2 linked regions of the Drosophila melanogaster genome follow. The protein of the gene in region 2 purifies or fractionates together with the protein of the main gene of each other region. This does not show direct contact. Each region holds a gene or a part of one and is shown on either strand. Other genes may lie near its edges.

What was found. Proteins that work in one complex are often made in the same cells at the same time.
Region 1: the proteins of AttD (region 2) and Sec22 purify together in Drosophila melanogaster (affinity purification with mass spectrometry, with the first as the bait; one large-scale study listed by BioGRID). This does not show direct contact.

The regions. Positions count from the first base shown.
Region 1 is NC_004354.4:804,234-808,711, forward strand, and holds Sec22 (secretory 22), read left to right. Parts: upstream 1-1,842; 5' UTR 1,843-2,251; coding exon 2,252-2,332; intron 2,333-2,399; coding exon 2,400-2,509; intron 2,510-2,735; coding exon 2,736-3,037; intron 3,038-3,120; coding exon 3,121-3,269; 3' UTR 3,270-3,967; downstream 3,968-4,478. Other genes in the region: CG13358 (uncharacterized protein), read right to left, coding at 1-664.
Region 2 is NT_033777.3:17,623,744-17,626,640, forward strand, and holds AttD (Attacin-D), read left to right. Parts: upstream 1-1,524; 5' UTR 1,525-1,580; coding exon 1,581-1,741; intron 1,742-1,818; coding exon 1,819-2,203; 3' UTR 2,204-2,343; downstream 2,344-2,897.

The DNA of each region.
Region 1 (4,478 bases), on a different chromosome or scaffold from region 2:
GTGAATTGGATTGCGGTCTCGTTCGAGCTCCTGGCATGGGCAAAAAGCGAAAGAGCCGGGTAGAGACGCCGTCATCATCTGTCACGTCATCGGTGGACAAATCATCTCCTCCAGCCCCTCCGACTCCGTTGGCAGACGGAACAGCACTATCAGCTTGTCCACCGGCAAGCGGAGTAAACACGGCAGCCAGACGCACAGGCACAAAGGCTGGGAGCCGCACTGTAATGGGAGTGCCGGAGGGCGGAACAGCCGGTGACGGGATTGCAACGGAGACTGGTATGGGTGTGGGTCGTGGCGGAGGAGGTGGTGGTGGTGGCAGTGGAGGCGGAGGAGGTCTACGTGTGCTGGCATCCGCTGGCGACGCAGTCGTTGTTGTGGCCGATTCCTCCTCGACCTCCTTCCAGGCCTCCAGCAGGGTCAGCAGCTCATCCTTGCTCATGTGGCCGAGACCAACGGGGCTGTAGGGCCACTCGCCCACTCCGAGTCCACTACCAACACTATTCCAGCCTAAAGAGGGCACTTGTTCCACTTGCTCTACGTGACCCAGCGGAGTCTCGAACAGGCTCCTTTGGGGACGTGTGAGGAGCAGCTGCTGACCAGCCAGCCCATTGCACAGGATCTGCATGAGGAGACCCAGGAGCGTCGCACGAACTGACCCGGCCATGACTGACTTTGTATTGTGGAGCCTCTAGGTGGAGCAGTGGCTTATATATACATACCTGCTTTCAACGGAACGAGGAAGGAGGCCAAGCCGAGCAAAACGGAAGCGCACGCATTCCGCTGCGGGTGATCCGATCACACGATGAGAAAATAGGTTGACCGCAGTCCTCGATGGGCTCAGAGTTAATTGAAATGCATTCGATTTAAGATCACAGTACAAGCATTTTAAATAATGTCATAAGCTTTCCCGCTTTGATCACAAACTTGTGTATATCTTAGCATTCTTCGGTATGAGCAGAAATGGGAATGGTTATTCGCATTCGCTTGCAGGGCTTCAATTCATAATATACATAGATGAATAAGTCGCATTCGATATGAATTATTTTCCCAGTGCAAAGATTTTTCCGGTGGTCGCTTGAAACGCACATTCGCACGCAGCTCCATCGCCAAGTACCACAGGTAGTCCATATAGTTGGGTCCCTGCCTCAAGTCCAAGTCCGGTTTCGCGGGCGAACCACTTTTCCTTCTGGGGATGGATGTGGATGTCCATGCAGAGGATGGTCTTCGCGGGCGAACCGGTTGGGCTTGGTCATCGACTTTTGGGGGGTCCAACCCACTTCCGGCATCTGCGCCAGCGGATTTGAGTCTGCGAAAGCGGCGCGACGTGCCAGGGATTTCGATTTATGTTGGTTAATAATTTAAATAAATATTTATTTATATTTAAATATTTGAAATAATATATTCGCAACTCGATTGCCAATATAAAAAATAAAAATACCAAAGACCAATTGGTCGGATTGGGACTCAAAACAGCTATAGAACAATGCATCTGGGCGCCAGGTTCATGGGTGAATCGAAGTATTGTACTTCTATTGAACTTCTGGGGATCCTTAATCCGCATCCTGTGTACAACACACGCATACAAAAAGCAAACTCCACATTACAGCAGAGCGCAAGCTGTCAAAGCTGTAGACCTGGGAAAATAGCTTTGCGGGAAAGCCCGGAAACTCGAAAGCGCCATTTTCAGGGGCATGCTGGCTTGAAAACGAGTTGAAAGCGTATTTCCATATCGTGCATTTAAAGAAACGAAGAAACGAATGGTATAATGGACTTCCGTTAATGTGACCGTTGGCGGTCGGTACTCTGAGATACTCTGCGGTATTCGGTATGCCTCGCACCATTCGGTATATTTACACGGACATACCGGTGACGTGGTTACATTGCAACAAACATCCACAGAAACCTCCAATCCACTCCAATCCCAGACACCCGCCCGCCGCGACGTTGCAACACAGTTTTCATGGTAGCAGCGAACGTTCCCGATTCGAGGCAGAGTCCATTTGGAAGTCCCGGGCATCGCAGGAGCACTGCGGCAAGCACCGACCGATCGGCTGAGTTGTGAAATCCAAGAAGTGGAAGAGGACGACCGGACACAAACTTCACACACTGGTGACTGGACTGCAGCGGATCCACATCGGAATAAGTAGCAGCCAGTGGAAGGAGGCGACGGCAGAGTGCAGCCGTGGCCAAGAAGACTTGAGACGCAGCCCCGTAGTTCCGCGAGCAATCGTAACCAGGAACAGCAGAAGCCATGGCGCTGCTGACCATGATAGCCAGGGTCATCGATGGCCTTCCTCTGGTGGGGACCATGCAGGATGACGAGCAGGTACCCGTGTGCATCACTTTCTAATACGTTGCATTCCGTTCCGCTCCCGCAACTAAGTCGCTTTCACTTTCAGAGCGGACGCAGCATACTGGACTACCAAAACCAGGCTAAGATGCTCTTCCGCAAGCTGGGTACCCACTCCCCGGCTCGATGCAGTATCGAGACCGGACCCTACCTATTCCAGTGAGTAGCCCCAATTCGTGGCACCTTTGCCAGGGCATAGACCATTAAAATCACACCATGTACAAAGGTTTCTCGGCTCCGCGGGTAGTCAGTGACAGTTGATTTAGTTTCGGAACAAAGAGTATAGATGTAATTTGATACGAAGTTAAATTAAACGCTCACTGCTTGCGAAAGCCAGAAGATGCAATGGGCGCCCCAATTAAAATATTCCACATTTTCCCTGCAGCTACCTAATCGAGAACGACGTCTGCTACCTGGTGATGGTGGACAAGATGTACTCAAAGCGACTGGCCTTCAATTACCTGGAGGACCTGGCCCAGGAGTTCCATGCTAACTACGGCCGGCGAGTAAACTCAGTGACTCGCCCATACGCATTCATCGAGTTTGACGTGTACATACAGAAGGCGAAAAAACAGTTGACGGACCGCAGACGCAACATCAGCAACATCAACACACAGCTGCAGGATGTGCAGCGCATCATGGTGCAAAACATTGACGACGTGCTCCAACGTGGCACAGTGCTGGCGGGTAACTACTACTACTACTATCTACGCGACTATCTACGCGTGATTGTGGGATTCAACTGACGTTCACCCCGTTTTTCCTTCCAGAACTCGACACCAAGACCCAGAACCTATCGATGATGTCACAGAAGTACAAGAAGGACGCCAAGCTGCTCAACCGAAAGTCCATGTACGTGAAGGCGATGGCCTTGGGCATGATACTTCTAGTGTTCATCATGTATTTCTGGGTTCTGTAATATCAAGCAGTTCCATGGCCACTCGGAGCGGCGCGTTCTTTGTTGGAGTCAAGCGTCAAGGACGCAAGACCAAAAGACATTTAGATTACGCGTGCACCTGTACTCCACGCCACCAACCACACCATATTCATTCATATCTATGAATCATAGGCAAGCGAAAAGTGAATAGCGAAACCCCCTACCAGCATACGCATCGCTCCCGAGGATTGTTTTACTTCTAATATTAACTTACCTTTGCGTTATTTACGGTCTGGGATTCCATTAATTATTAACTCCCATTTCATTTCGCCTCGCGCTTCCGTTGCGCAGGTTTTCTAAATATTTGATTACGAATCGGGTTTAGTTTAGACGACCTTTGAGCCAAGTCGGTTGACTACGACCCAAATCTGTAAATTATGAGCGTCGATCCGTGTGTGTGTGTATAAATGTCTAGATTGTAGATGGATCGCTGCATAGCGAATCCGAATCCGGCGGAGTGCTTGATACAAGCTGCAAAAACACCGCAAAAAACAAAAGAAAAAGAAAAGATAACAAGCGAACCGAAAGAAAAGAAAAGAAGAGAAAGGGAAATAAACAATAACAGTTTTAGGCAATTTATATGTGTAAAATTAAGGCAAATAAATAAATTTATATTGTTTAATAAAGAGAAGGCAAAACTGTGTTCGATGCACTACCCAAGCCCGAAAGATAGAAACTGCATCTGATTTTTGGTTTAGTTTTAATCGATAATTTCCCTTTATATATTTTTCGATTCACTGAGTGTGATGTGATACATTCGCCTTTATAGTTTATATCCACTTGCAAGCCTTCGAATTACGATTCTTCTCAATGAATTTCTCGATCTGATCCGATCCCGATCCCATTCGGTCTCATATCGTCCCGCTAAATGTCCGTTTTCGTTGCGTCTCAGCGCATATAAATTTGTAATATCAAATCTTTACAATTAGGAAAAAAATGCGCTGTTGCCATATACACTGCTATATCGTAATTTGGTGTGTATAGTTTTGTGAAATATCGAATCCGAATACATATATACGCTCTCTACATAACTACATATGAATGCATATGCTTTGTGGGGGGGGATGTGTGAAATGGTCTGCAATAATTAATTAACTGGGGAGAAGAGCAATCATCTACCGAATTTTGCAACCTCCTCTGGCTTCCGTGTACTAGGCTGTGGTTCTGCTGAAGCTCTGGTGGTGAGTGGGA
Region 2 (2,897 bases):
CTTGAACACATGTTGTTGGGGCCCAGAAACTGAGCTTATATCGTCTGGGCAAATATTAGGGGGATATTTTAGTGGAGATGGCCAAACTTTGAGATCATCAAAAGGGAATCGTTCAACTAACTTTTGTATCCGATAAGTGAAGTCCCGCAGCAGACGACCAGATATTAATTCTCGGGGGGAAATTAGAAGAGGACATTGCTGTATCCGATTTACAAGCAAAAAGGACTCTGCAAATTAAATTTATAAATATAATATACCATTGTTCGGCTTGTCAGAAGTTTGTTTTTCCCTCCATTGTTACATAATTATATGGCCCGGAGTTATCGGTGGGCTTGAGTGCGTTTGTGTATAAAAAAGCAAGATAAGCCAGAACCGAGTGCATGTAAATAAATTGAAACAAATAAGCTGACTGTCGGCTAATTGCAGGGAGACCCCTTTATCCAGAAAAGCGAATGAAATTGAAAAGCCGTTCGTTCCATTTGCAAGGCAAATATACGAGGCCCCGGATCTCCGGTCGTTTTTTTTCCACCTTGCGGTGGACAACATCGCAACATGCTGTCGAACATTTCCGCCGGACGGTTTCCGTTATGCAACGCCACTGCAAGGACAACAACAGGTGGATGTCGAGAAGGATGTGCGAGGTGGTGGTGATTCTGAGTCCGTAGCCACTGTTTACGCCGACCAAACTTTTTGTCAGCTGTCATTGGGGCAGACGTGCAAAAGAAAAACGAGAGTTTTCCCTTTATTCTGATTCCAAAAGACTGACAGCTGAATACCCCGTAGGAAAAAAAACACGCACAACACAATTCGCGTTTGAGAGAAGGCCCCGGCGAGATTCGAACTCACGATCTCCTGTTTACTAGACAGGCGCTTTAACCAACTAAGCCACGGCGCCACTTATGTTGAACCTGAAAATTTGGAAACTTCTGTGGTGGGTGGTTGGAGGTATCAATGATCATTAAAAATAACTCAAGGTCAAGTATTGATTTTGATAGATGATACTATGAAGATAAAATTAAAAAGATATGAAAAACTAAAAAATACTGACACAATCTTTTGTGTAGGCCCCGGCGAGATTCGAACTCACGATCTCCTGTTTACTAGACAGGCGCTTTAACCAACTAAGCCACGGCGCCATGCGTTATATGCCTGACCAAATTTTCATAATTGCCTTGCCCAATTCAAATTAAAGTGTCAATAGCTGAAATGACATGCTCTTCAAATAGAAGATCTTAAAAAGTAATTCAACGAGGTCCACGTATAAAAATGTATGTAAAGTACTAGCGTTCTTTGAATGGGAAGAACCATACAAAATATTTTCTTTATTTACAATACGTATACCAGCATTTGGGAGTCCCACTGAGATTATTCACAATATCTAAAGGGGAAAAACAAATGCATATGGCTGTGTATTTAAGGATGATTAACAGACAAGAGAAAATTAAAGGGGGAAATCACCGAAGTTGCGTACTTTTGCGACAAAAGACATGAGAGTATAAAAGCGACCGTCGGAAATATGCAGTCACTCAAACTAAGAGATAGAGTGCAAGCAGAAAGACGAAATCAAAGAATTATATAAGATGGAATGTCAGGCTTCAGGAAACCCAAAGAGCGGAGCGGCAACCGCCCAATGCGGAGTAAGGGTCGGTGATGATCTTGCCAATGCTCGAGCCGGAGTATTCGCCTCCACTCCAGGCGCTGGGGGTCCGGTCACCAAGGGAGTTTATGGAGCGGTCAACGCGTAAGTCCAGTAAAAGTTCTTAAAAATGCTAAAATAAATATTATAATTTTGTAAACTTTCTTCTCTTCATCCCACAGCAATGGTCATGCACTCTCACTGCAGCATGGCCACATCGAGGGCGTGGGCAGCACTACCACTGCCGCAGCCCAAGCCAATCTCTTCCAGAGCAATAACGCCGCTCTGAATGCCACTGCATTTCACAGTCATAGCCGATCGCACGATCAGTTTGGCGGAGGACTCAATTTGCAAACTGGAACGGGTCACCAGGCGGCAGTGGGGGTCACTAGGGTTCCTCAGTTCGGCATGACCGCCGTCCAGGCTTCTGGCACAGCAAATCTGTATACCTCTCCAAGTGGCAATCTCAACCTCAACGCCACCGGAAGTGCCAATCATCACCTCAGGGGACCGATGCGCGGCAAGTCCGATTTCGGCACCGGAGTTAACTTGCGATATAATTTTTAAATCCTTTATAGTTTTATTGAAACTATTCATAGTCACATTTAGTACTTGCACGTAGCCAAGAAAAGAAACAAGTGCCGTATTTATATGCATTATATCGAAGATTAAATAAACCATGCTATTAAAAGCGCTTTCTACTTGGTAACACGCAATATCATTGAACTCTTTAAACTCCTGTCAAAGTGCACATCGATTTCCCATATTTCATCGAGTGAAATTCTACACAATAACCGAGCCACTTGGGGAAATCCTTTGGGGTTCGAAAACCCATCTACAGACGAACGTAGACCATGAGAAACAAATTTTTGACTAGTCAGCTTTTTGGCATATTTCTTTTTTTTTTTGCACCAATGTGTGCAAGCACCGCAACCGTTAAGTGCCATAAAAATAATTCAAAATAAATTGCTTTACATAAAAATTTGGTTTCGGCAGAGCAGCGCGCCCAACTGTTTTATAAGGTGTATAATTTGGCCATAATAATGCGCATCATGGCAGCATCCATCGCGGGGTTGGTTATTAATTCTCGGTCGACGCGTCGTCGAGCCCGAGACATAAATAACGCGTTTTATGCGTGAATATACTTTGCATTTTTCGCAGACACGGCGGAGTCCTAGTTAAGCCGTAAAAATTACACCAGCCAGTCAAGAAGCCCCGCCACGACTTTGACTTCCTCGAAGGACCAAGGCAAGTCATGTCA